Linked DNA regions of Caenorhabditis elegans. The protein of the gene in region 1 interacts with the protein of each later gene in a pairwise test. Each region holds a gene or a part of one and is shown in the gene's direction. Other genes may lie near its edges.

Region 1 (5,099 bases):
CAAATGTAAAACTAAAAAACAAATCAATCAGTTAAATAACCTAATTATCCCTGACCACCACATCATGAACTCCCATTTGTTCGCCCTAAAAAAGTCAATCGCATCCAATTTGATATCTTTGTTCCTTTTATTCTACCAAATCAGTCATTCTTTCTGAATTACCGATTCCTGATCGTGACTCATCAATTTTTATTCCATTTTCTTGCATTGTTTTTGATTTCTCAGACATTGGAGTTTTCATGTTACGAAACATAAAAACAGCCTCACGAGGTTTCTTTATCACCAATGAATGTGAGTACTTGTGTGGAAGCTGTTTTGGTTGAGAGTCATCTTCCCAGGGCAAGTTACTTGATTGTTTGGGGTTTGATTATGCTATTTTCATTAAAAAAAAATTAGATTCTCAGTTCTGACAATGTTTGGGAAATTTGACATTTATTATGAAGCCTCGTCAAAAAAAGTTTCAAAACCCAAATGGTTCAATCACATGACACTTTCTTATCACCAACTGGTCCTTGCACTTCTTCTACCAACTTCCCTCTATTCCCACTTTTCCGTTTTCCGTGTTCATGTCCCGGGGTCCGAGAGAGAAAGAAAGAACGCCTGTTTGATATCTGTGTCTCTCACTCTCTTCTTATCACTACTATCTTTAATTGTTTCGGGGTCCCCCCACTACTACCCTCCTCCTCTTCTTTCTTGTGTTCCTCATAAAGAAACGAACGAAAAATACGTTTTTTCTCTCTTCCTACTGTTTTTCAATTTTTTGATTATTTCCATGTTTCTGTAGCCTTTTCTTCTTTCCGGTTGGCCAAGAAACAATTATTAGCTTTTTTGTTAATGAAAAGAAATATCGATAAAACTGATAAGAAAACAATTGGTTTTGTTATCAGTTGTTTCTCTCAAACCAATCACTTACCCTTTTTCTCATTTTTCGAGAACCGTTTTTTTTCTGTCTTGGTAATTTTTATCAGATCCAATTCATTGAAACGAGAAGTAATAAAATTTAAAACTCAAAAAATTCATTTAGTTTCAAAAAATATAAAATGCTTTCGCTACAACTACAGTAACCTGCGAGGAACTTTTTAAAAGTTATTTTTATCAAAAACATGTTGTTAAAAATAATAAATTAAATTCAAATGATCGACTATGACTATGAAACAATTTAAAAATGTTGTTTTCTTTCAGAAATTTCATTTAAATTCTAAACTTTTTTTAGTAACTGAATTAATTTCAAATTGCTGGGCAAAATGATTACTGTAAAGCAACACAGTTTTGTTGGATTTTTTTTTATATAATTAAACTTTTTGGAATGATGATACATTTTGCAGAATTTTTTAATTGGTCCTAAATCGGTTTCACTTCGAAACATTTATTTTCCGCGGAATATTGTTTCAAAATCAGGATTTTTATTGTAGAAATTGCAAAAAAAAATTTTTCAATGAAAAAGACAAATTTTAGAAGTTTTAATTTACACAATTTCACACTCTCATCATCCTACTTCCCCAAAGTACATTACCAAAAATTTCAAGAAAAAAATGATACTAATATTTTCTGAATACTCTTTCACCTGGTCATTTAAGTTCCATATTTTCCCAGTTTCTCAATAAAATAGTAAAAGTGGCTCGTAAATCTTTCGTCAGTGAGAGTGAAACGGCTCGACTGGACACGGGGACACGGGACACCAATTGAACACTAAATTGCGGTCAGAAAGGGAGAAGAAATCTATAAACTGAGGAAAAGCATATCTCATAATGTGAACTACTCTATTTCAAAAAGTCTTAGCTGACCAATGACTCTTTTAAAATATTTCTATTGAAAATTCAAGTTTGTTTTCTCAACTTTTCAATATTTTCCCACATGTTTCTTTATTTTCTTCCTTTCCGTTTTAACACTCAAACAAAGTCAATAACAAAAATGTAAATTTCAGACCACATCCATGACAGGAAACTAGAATAAATATATAAAATGAACGACTGTAAGCGGTTTGAAGCAAATATTTTCAATAATGGAAAATGCAAGATTTGCTATAAATCCAAACAGAATCATTCATCAGAATCAATTGAAAATGCAAAGGTAATTTTTGTTTGATTTTTAGTTGATTTTTATTTGAAAAAATAACGTTTATGACTTTATAAATCAGTATGATTTGGCCTAAAATTCAGCTTCAATCAGGTGTTTAAATGAGTTTTTAAACATGAATTTCCAATATTTTTCAGTAAATTTTGTTCGAAAATAGCAACTATTTTTTAAAAGATTTATTCGAAAATACTTTTAATTCTAATTCAAAAATTTCCAATTTTTGGTAGTTCGAAACTTCCATGAAAATGCCAACACTTTTTTAACTTCAAAATTAAATTAATATAAATTCGTTAGTTTTTTAAAAATAATATTTTGATTCTAAATTTCACTTTAAAATATTAGAATATCAAACAGAGTACGGTATTCTACTAAACTACCAAAAATAATTGGCATCTTCCCAAACGCTGTGCCCCGAATTTCTGCGAATCTTAAAACTAATAATTAATTGTAAGAAAAGCTTTTTTTTCTGTTTTCCCGTCTCCATTTGCATTTTAATGTTGTAGAAAGACGAAGATTGAAAAAAGCACTACAGTTTTTTTACAAAATTCAATATTTTGGTGTTTACATAAGGTATAGTTTATTGATATGAAATGAAATCAGTAGTATTTGAAAAAGAGTATACTGAAAAAGACATGTTCTTCTTTCTGTGTCTCTCAATTTCTAATACTATTTATCATTTACTTTTTTATTGATAACAAGTCCATTTTGCAATCGGAAATGATATAAAAATGCATAGTTGATTATTTTTTGGAATGCTTTTCTCTTCATTTTAAGGTTTTTTGAAGTATCTGATTTGAAAAAGAGCATTATTTATTTAATTCTAAACTTTTGAGTTTAATTATTTATTTGATCAGTTCTCAACTTTTTTGATTGCATTTTCCATTTCTAAGGGTACACAATTTTCAGTTTGACACTTCAAAAGTTCCAACAAAATATTAGAATAAATTATAATTGAACACTCCAAAATTTTTTAGCTTTTTAAAATTTTTTTTTAAATTTTTAGCAAATTGAAAGTTTTAGAAATTTCCAAAAATTGAAAAAAAAAACTTTAAGGTTCGCACGTTTGAACTTGAATAATATTTTAATCCGAACAATGGAAACAAAATTAAAATATTTGCAAAAAAACCTTTTCCGGTTGACTTTCGAAATGCTGATAGGCGGAAGCTGTAAATAAACTAATTTTGGGCTTTTTTAGCACCACAGAGGTGATTTGAATCATCTTCCCCATTGCCGCTTCTCCACCTTTGAAGCTTTGATTGTTTTGGAATAAAATTTTCAGCCAATACCTCTAAGCTGGTAATAGATACCTGAACATATAGTCTTAGTTTCACCAATCGGTTCCACTTTCATTCTTTTTTGTGTCTCATTTCGTTTCGCATCAGTTATTTTTCTGCAATCACACTTCGGCCCATTTCTTTTTCTTATCCAATCCCAATACATTTTGTTTTTTCATTGGAAGACGTTCGTCTCTCTTCTGAGCAATTATCCTTTCTATCTCTAAACTCTCTTACTATTTCAATAGTATTCCATTTCATAAAAGTGCGCACTTTTGGGTCGTCCAGAGACATTCAACCAGAAAGCATTGATTCTTCCCTTCTTTTTCCTTCCTCTTGTTTATTTATTCAGCAGTGACACTATCCTTCACTATTCCTCTTCCATTTCATCCATCCTTGCATTTTTCTTATTTTTTTGGTAGTTTTTCTCTACAGTGACCCTATTAATTGGCTCAAGTTTTATTTCTAATACCGACACACACGATTTTTGCTTCAAACAATTATGGGACAAAAAGATGAATTCCACTTGACATTTTGTGAATGCCAAAAAATATTCCGAGATATTTTTTGTGTCATTTAGTAAAAGTCACTATTTTTAGCTGGTCTAAGTGAGCACTGAGTTTTGATTTTTTTCAAATATTATAACATCATCAATGTTTTTTAACTGAACCTGAGGCTCTGATTTTTTAGGGAATAAAAAATTGAGTGTATAAGTTTTGGATTCAAAATGACGCATTTAATAAATAAGTTCGTAAGTTAATTTTAGAATTTCTGGAAATAAACTTCTACGTAATTGAAAGATATGTATGCCTACCACAGAATTGATAGTTCCCTGTTAATTTTCTATTTTCTATAAACATTTATCTAAAAGTACCATAAAAATCGCAATCTTATAAACTTGAGCAATTTCGTTTTTTCCTGAAAAACATAAACACGAAATTCTAGACAGATTGCCTAATGCACCATTGGCCATCCTCCAATTTATAAATTTTAATCCAATCTTCTATCATCTTCCACTTATTATTATTATTATGCCCACCACTTCCAATCATGCTTCTTCTCTGACCATCATCTCCTTCTTCTTATCATTTGATTGCGCATCATTTTATCTGTTTATACCCGACTTGGCTTGTATCCAAGTTTTGAACACCCACTCACACATTAAAGTATCTTCATTCGTCTCGATATATCGTGTTCGTGTTCACTTTCTACATTCATTCAATGACCTGCTTTCTACCTTCCATTCATCCTTGTTTTCAACATCTTACCACTCACTCTTTTTCTCATTTTCTCTTATTTTCTCATGCTCTATCGTTCATCTAGATGGATGTAGGTAATGACTGGGAGAAAGAGAGTAGAATCCATCCTCCAATTAGTTCCTTTTCTGCTTCTAGAATTGTTTTTTGTTGTTTCTAGGTCTAACTTGCACCCATGACATTTGGATTTTCAAAACTTGGATTTTGAAAAAAAACTTTTACTTAAAGGCGCACGGATTTTTTCAGATGGATAGAAGAAAGTATTTTCAATAATATCATTATACATAGTTTTTGTAAAGGAAGAGCTTTTTTGAAGACGAAACAAATGTTTTCAATTCTTCAATTCTTTTAAAAATCACATTTTGTTGCTTTATGCTTTCAATATGCATTTGTTTTTTTTAACACGAAATGAGAATCCGATGGAGCACTTTTCTTAATGTTCGACGATTTTTTTTATCTTTTCCGTAACCAAAAGATTCCAATACCGGAAGAT
Region 2 (7,913 bases), on another chromosome or scaffold:
CAATAGTCACCTTCCTTTCATCCAGACGTCTCTCTTTCTCTCCCTAGATAATTCTTGTTCACTACCTTTAAGCCTACCTGCAATAAGCTGTACGGATCATCTACTTTGACTACCTTAATCTCCATATGTCTTATCATCTCGTTTATCACTTGAAATTGGAAACGAGATTTGTGTAGTTTTATCGCATTTTTCGAGGTGCTTTAAAACCATTTGGAGATGAAATTCAGAGAAAATTGTTCTAGTTTCTCCATTTAATTCGCGACTTGTTAACGAACAAATTGTTAAATTCATGTTTACGTAACTAAAAAGTTTTTTTTTAATTTTAAGAGACGACCGAGTTACAAGCTGTCAAAGTTGAGTACCATATTTTCTCATTCCACTTTTTTGTTCAACTTTAGCATCTTATATCTCAGTTGCCGTTTGTTTTAATCAAAAATTGTTAACTAACGAAATATTTGCAATTTTTTTTCTATCGTTTGTATTCGATAATTTATTGATATCATTAAAATACACCAAGATATAATTTTTTAAAGTTAAGTAATGTGGTGCAATTTCATATTTTTAATATGTACCCTTCTCCTATGTGTTTCAAACACCGCTTCAACATTCACATTGAACTTTCAGACACTTTGAGGACAATGTTACATTTTTTTCCTTTAACATACAAACTATTTGAGTACATACTTAATTACCTCTTTGTCACAGCTACGTCTTCATTCAATACTACTACTTCGTGCATTCACTGTTCGTTTTCTTACTTTTTGTCTCTCTCTCTCTCTCTCTCTCTCTCTCTCTCTCTCTCTCTCTGTCAGTTTTCCTCTTCTCCTCACAAGCTTCTTCTCCTCATCCTTCCAAGAAGTGAAGCCAGTTTCCGCCTCTCTTATAGACAGTTTGCGTCTCCACATCTTCAATGCTATCTCTCACATTATTCCGACAGTACGGAGAAAAGAGTCGCGCTCTCTCTCCTCTGTTCGCTTCCTCAATTCCATTACGAGTGTTCTTTTCGAATGGCAAAACCTATAAGTCTTTTGAGAATTCCATCATCTTTTCAAGTTTGCATAGTACTTGTGGATCTTGAATTTTAGATGCGGAAACATTGATAGATTCGAGTTTGAAAATGTTCTAAAACTTTATAGGTTTGATTATTAGACTTTTTAATTTCAATAAAGTGCAGATTTTAAAACTCGACGCTATTGTATTTGGCAACACTTTTTGTGACTTCTACGATTTCTTCGTTTTTCAAACAGACACGTAGGCGTATAGGAATATAGGCAAATAGGCAGGCACATAGGCATGTGTGAAGGCAGCCTGTTGCTGGCTTTTCGCCCACAATCGCCCGTCATCGCCCTAGCTCGAACTTTTAAACCAAGGCAACCAAGAACTAGAAATTTTACAAAAAAACCTATCTGTCAAAAAACCATTTACCTACCTATCTCTACCCAGAGTTTCCATCGTTTTTTTTGTCCCGACCAACCCGACCTTATGTTCAATTTTATTACCCATGATCAGCACCTCCTACATGCGCAAAATGTTGCCTGTCCCCCTTTGTGATCCATGTCCCACCAATTGACATCAATAGTAAATACATCAAAGTTATCGCCTTTCTTCTCTTCTTTTTTCTAATTTCTCTATTTCCTCTGCATTTCTTTCTGTTCGATTAGCTAATAGTGGTAACTTCATTCTAACAGTGTTGTACAAGTCCGGAGACATATTGATGCGCTAGTGTCATCATCGGAAGCAAAGGCGTCCGAGCGGAAGCATTCACGATGAATCAAGAGGAGGACACCGTTAATTTGCAGATCTTCGTTCCGGAGCTTAACGTTCGGGTGAGCAATTGCAAAATAAAATTGTGACTATTTGCAGAACTTACCATAGAATTTCAAAATGTTTTATCTAGGTGTTCCATAATCCTTCTACAATTTCTCAATTTCAGAAGTTCCTTGCGGTGACCCAAAACGATTTCATCTGGGATGTGAAACGCAAGTTATTGGCCACCCTTCCGCAAGCTCTTCCGCAAGCTTTCAACTACGGGCTCTTCCTTCCTCCATGCGATGGACGAGCCGGAAAGTTTCTTCTCGAGGATCGGACCATTCGTGACTATCCGTTCACTGATTGTGTTCCGTATCTCGAGTTGAAGTATAAGAAACGAGTCTATAAGATGCTCAATCTTGACGAGAAGCAGCTGAAGGCAATGCACACGAAGGTAGGGATTACTTCTCTTTCAACTTTCAATGCCAAAACCTCCCAGGTTCTAAATGTTCTAGTTCTAATCCCATCTTATTATTCAATTCCTTCCGATCCAACATGTTGATCGAAAACTGACAAAAACCTTGTATAATTACAAGGTGTTTTATGCGTCATATTCCATCAGATGCATATCTTTCCCCCTTTCTTCACAAACTAATAATATTTGTGTTCGCGCGCACCTCTCAATTCAGATACTTATCGTTCTCGTTTTGCAGGGCCAACTCAAAAAGTTTATGGACTACGTTCAGCAGAAGAATAACGAGAAAGTGGAAAAGATGTGTTCGCAGGGACTTGATGCAAATTTTCATGATGCTCAGGTGAGTTTTTGTGGATGTTTCTAGGATTGCCGGGCATCTTGAAATTATTTTAATTTTCACAAAATTTCAGGGAGAAACCCCATTAACGCTGGCTGCTGGAATCCCGAACAATCGAGCTGTAATTGTATCCCTTATTGGTGGCGGAGCACACGTGGATTTTCGCAATTCAGAAGGCCAAACTGCAATGCACAAAGCCGCATTTCTATCTTCCTTCGAGAATGTAAAAACCTTGATCGAACTTGGAGCAAGCCCAAACTATCGTGATCCAATTGGACTTACACCGCTCTACTATAATATGTTGACAGCAGATTCGAATGATCAAGTCGCTGAGATTCTTCTACGAGAAGCCGCCGACATCGGTGTGACCGATATGCACGGAAACCACGAGATTCATCAAGCATGCAAGAATGGGTTAACGAAACATGTGGAACACTTACTCTATTTCGGTGGTCAGATCGATGCTGAAAATGTAAATGGGAATAGTCCTCTTCATGTCTGTGCAGTGAACAATAGGCCAGAATGTGCAAGAGTACTGCTGTTTCGGGGAGCTGATCATCTAGCTGTGAACAAGCAAGGACAAACTGCGTTACATGTTTCGCATATTGTCGGAAATCCTGGTGTGGCTGATGTCGTTCAAGCACATAATCCTAAATCTTCAGGTAAGAGAGTCATTTTTTTAACTTCTCTGAAAAATCTAAATTCCAGTACCATATCGCGGCACTCCTCAATACTCAACTCGCCGACGCCTCAGCTCAACCATCACTCGCCGACGTTCGATGTCCCAATCCTCAATATGCAGCCAGGATGTCTACCGTACTCCCCAAAGTGTACGAAAAGGTCCAATGTCTGCAGCTCCATCGCCAAGCCCGTCTCGATCCTCCCGTACTACCATCACCCCATCAGAGTACGGTACGATGCGACGGTCTGGAATGGATTCGATGCGTGGTGGTGGAATGATTGCAGCTGGACACGAGACAAATATCGCTCGGATTCTGGTGATTCCACGTGGTGTCAAGGGATTCGGTTTCATTTTGAGAGGAGCTAAACGTAAATTCCTTTTTCTTATGTAACTGCTCAATAATTTTCTCATAGTTCTTGTTTCAGATGTCGCCATGCCATTGAACTTCGAGCCAACTGCTCAAGTGCCGGCTCTTCAATTTTTTGAAGGTGTCGACATGTCCGGAATGGCGGTTCGCGCGGGATTAAGGCCAGGAGATTACTTGCTGGAAATTGATGGAATCGATGTGCGAAGGTGTTCACACGATGAAGTCGTCGAATTCATTCAGCAAGCCGGTGACACGATTACACTGAAAGTGATAACAGTCGATGTAGCTGATATGAGTAGGGGAGGAACTATTGTGCATCGACCGCCAACAGGTAAAGAAAGTTGAATAGAGTGTTGTTGAGATTTGGGTTGAAAGAAGTTCATATTGGGAGTTAAGTATCTTGATGATCTTGATATTGCACAAACTCGGCTTGAAGTGTAAGCTTGAACTTATCATCCCAAATCTCAATGATAATTTCAACGTATCGTCGTTCATATTCGCACGCTTTTAGTTTTGTGTAGTCTTTGTTCAAGTACAAATTGTTTTCTAATCCGTGCACCGTCACCATTCACTCACATTCACTTCCAGCATCATCTCGTCACTCTTTGGTTTTTACACCCACGCCGTCAGCAATCTACTCGTCTACAAAAGCGTCCAGTGTTTATCGGATGAGATTTGGTTCGAATTTTTTTGTTTTATTTTTACTTTATTTTTCTAACTTTCTAATTCACTGTTCACGTTAATCTAGAATTTACATAGAGATCAGCTTTCTAATTATGTGTTATCTGTTCTATAGATTTGTTCTCGGTCTCGTGTAGCATAGTCATTTTATTTTCAGACACGCATGATGCGCATGGAGTTGATTACTATGCCCCAAATGAAATCAGGAACGCCTACTCGGAATCACGTCACGCGTCAGTCAGGCAAAGGCCGGGTAGCGGGAGGAGGATATCCGCAGCGGAATTGGAGAATTTGATGGTTCGACAGCGGGTACCGTCGGTGCAAGGTTCACCATATCAAATGCAATATGATCAGGAGTCGTTGAATGGGGGTTATTCGTCAAAGAAGTATAATTCGGTTTCTGACATGAAGAGGAGGAAAGGTCAACGGAATGTGGTGGCTTCATCTGCCGGATTGAATAGGTCGACTTTCGAGCAAGCGGTGAGTTTTAGAAAAATGTGGGAATCGGAATATTTATTTGCTCTAAATTACGGAGAAACTAGATTAAAGATGCCAAAATGCCAAAGTTAAAAAACATTTTGAAACAGAAAAAAATTTAAAAAATTAACCCGATTTTCTTAAATGTTTTCTTTTTTGTTTGTTAAATATCATGTCATTTGGAGCAATTCAGAGCAAAATTCCCAACAGCGAGCACACTGAGAAAGTAGAATTTTTCAGGCTCCCACAACTAGCACATTCGAGTACAACTGTAGCAGTCGAAGCACACCTCAACTATCTCGAATGGACTCATTTGATTCATTTGACGATGAAGATGAGATGCCAGCTCCACCACCGGCGTCGTATATCTCTCCGGATTTGCAGAGAGATTCTTCAATGCAGCGGAGTGAATATTCTAGGCCGTTCCGACCAACGTCAAGGCCGAAAACTCCACCACCTCCTCCACCGATGCAACATCAGAATCATCAGAACCACCAATATCAACAACAACATCCATCTCTTCCAAGATCAGCTTCAACACCTCAACCAATTCAGCAGCAGCAGTCATCGATTCCACCACCGCCTCCACCACCTCCTCCGCCACACTGCGAGCCAACGATGGTACATGTTGAGTTCACACCTCCATCAACATCTTCAGTACCTCCTCCACCTCCTCCATTGCCTCCAATCTCATCTGGAGCTCCGCCACCACCTCCACCACCTCCTCCGGGAGGTTTGATGCATGTGGCTGCGAGTGCTCCGGTTTTGATGAGCAATTCAAAAGGAATATCAGCAGATGCCTTGAAATCAGTTCAATTAAAAAAAGCAGAACCACGAGAAACATCGGCGGCTTCTGTCAGTAATAATAACAATAATAACAACAACTCCACGACAGATTTTCAAATGGATTTGAAGAATGCGTTGGCAAAGAGGCGGAGTAAAGTAGCTCACGATGTCGATGAGGATGAGGAGAGAGAAAGTCGATTCGAAGGATTATCACTTCGAGAAACTGTTCGGGAAAATGTTGTAGAACGTGGAAAAGGAATTCAGAACATTGGAATAGTTAATAAGAAGGACAGTGGGTAAGTGAGTTTATTTCATTTGAAAAATGCTCGTTGGTTGCATAATTATTGGTTGTGTCCGATTTTTGCTAATTGGCTATTTCTAACTGCTAATTTTTGGAACATTTAAAAAAGTCTGTCAGAATGTAGTTCAAAACATTCTGAGACTTTTGGCGTCTATTCGTGTCTCTTGCCTACTTTCATAGTACCTTTAACCATATTCCCACTATTTCACTTTGAACAGTTATATCTCAGTTCATTTAGAAGATATCATTAAATGTTCAACTATGAAACTATAGAAAAAGTATCAGAAAATATTTAGTCAGTTGACAATTTTTGTGTAGAACAACCGAAAACTGAGATATAAGCTGGTAAAGTTGAACAATCGAAGTACAATATTAATAGAGAAAACACGGTAACTGCTAACTGCTTTCTCGAACTTCCGTAGCTCAACATCTTCAATCTTGAAGCTTACATACAACTTAAATAAATCCTCTCTTTTCAGGTACACATCTTCTCGAACGTCACTGGAACCATCTGAATCGGAAGAAAAAGATCATCGACCCCATTTCTCACTTGATCACTCTCCAAATGTTCAAAGAGTGACACTGATCTCTCAGCATCTCGAGGATAATTACGGACAGAAGGACAATGTAAGACCCATTTTTCCCTGCACTGATTTCTCAATATAACATTTTTCTTAACCCCAAAAAAAAGATGGTGTGAAAGAATGTTTAATTTGTTCATGTGTGGTTTGTGCCCAATTTCTAACCTAAAACCTGCAATTCAGATGTCTGTTGCCTCGTCGTCAACTGCGTCATCATCATCAACAGTTGATCTAACGAAACCTGGATGCTTCGTGGTACCATCTCATGTCATTCCACCTGTCGATTATGATGATGATCCGGATTCTGGAACAGGCGATAGCGATGGAGAGATTCGCTGTAAGAGATTCTTCTTCCAACTTGTTTTTCATTTGACATCACCATTAGTTTTACTCTTTTTGCACACTCACTTAATTTATGTTCTCACAAATTTTGGAGATTAATTTATGAATCTAAGAGGAAAGGGGAGAATGAAATCTGTCTGGGGTCTAGTTTTGGTTAACATGGGGTTTTTGGAATGCTCTGGTTGTGTTCTCGGGATACATTTTTTTTAGCAAATTCTCAATTCAAATCATTATAAATGTTTAGAGCAGTTTTGAGAATTATCTAGTTTATTTGTTTACGCTTGTATTCTTGTAAAAATACTTGTAAACTTGTAAAAATATTTATACTATAATAGTATTTTTGTCAAAATATTTAGTTTTCTAAATATTAAAAAAACAATTTGATTTGGTTTTTTAATTTACTTAATTTCGTTTGTTCTGTTTCAGTGTAACTCTTCATTTTTGAATTGTTTGCTTCAGTTTATCTGTTAACATTTCTAGTTTGAAATATGTTTGAAGGAAACTTCTTTTTTGGATATTTTGTAAAAGAAAAAATTGTTAATTCAAATCATTATCTGTTAGATTTTGGGGCTCATTCCTTTAAGTTTCAACAAATTACCAAATTTCCTCTCTTTGCAGGTAGTGAAATATCATTCGAACACAAGAAGGTAGATGTCTGGTCGGTGGATGACGTCATCGGTTGGCTCTCATCACTACACCTCTCTGAATATACACCAGCATTTCGAAGTCAACGAATCAATGGCCGATGCCTTCGCCAGTGCGATCGGTCTCGATTTACACAGCTCGGTGTCACCCGAATTGCTCATCGCCAGATAATTGAATCAGCTCTCCGTGGCCTCCTCCAGTGATTTATGATTTTCCCCCCTCATTTCTACTTTCTCGATTTTCTCCCGCGTAGCTGGCTTTATATATTTGTATATAATATTGTTTCATTTGTTTTTGATAGTGAAACCCAATTCTAATTGACCATCGTGTCTTTATCCTGCTCATCATCATTTTTCATTAATTTTCTTCCATTTTTCGGTGTCCTAGGGTAATACAAAAAATATATAGTTTTTATATTTTAATATATATTTTATTCCTCACTGATTCTATGCCTTTTCGTAGAATTGCTCCCCAATTTTTGCATTTGCAT

The links.
Region 2: the proteins of F10G8.8 (region 1) and shn-1 interact in a two-hybrid assay, tested with the Caenorhabditis elegans proteins (one large-scale study listed by BioGRID).

What each region holds. Positions count from the first base shown.
Region 1 is NC_003279.8:10,058,852-10,063,950, reverse strand, and holds the start of F10G8.8 (PH domain-containing protein), read left to right. Parts: upstream 1-1,924; 5' UTR 1,925-1,962; coding exon 1,963-2,070; intron 2,071-5,099.
Region 2 is NC_003280.10:11,384,638-11,392,550, reverse strand, and holds the start of shn-1 (Protein shank), read left to right. Parts: upstream 1-1,686; 5' UTR 1,687-1,766; coding exon 1,767-1,826; intron 1,827-1,933; coding exon 1,934-2,203; intron 2,204-2,462; coding exon 2,463-2,564; intron 2,565-2,634; coding exon 2,635-3,223; intron 3,224-3,269; coding exon 3,270-3,611; intron 3,612-3,668; coding exon 3,669-3,941; intron 3,942-4,198; coding exon 4,199-4,288; intron 4,289-4,448; coding exon 4,449-4,771; intron 4,772-4,813; exon of another isoform or gene 4,814-4,834; intron 4,835-5,008; coding exon 5,009-5,850; intron 5,851-6,334; coding exon 6,335-6,482; intron 6,483-6,619; coding exon 6,620-6,773; intron 6,774-7,396; coding exon 7,397-7,626; 3' UTR 7,627-7,913. UniProt on the Caenorhabditis elegans protein: Scaffold protein that most likely acts in the postsynaptic density (PSD) of excitatory synapses which orchestrates synapse formation and maintenance at neuromuscular junctions.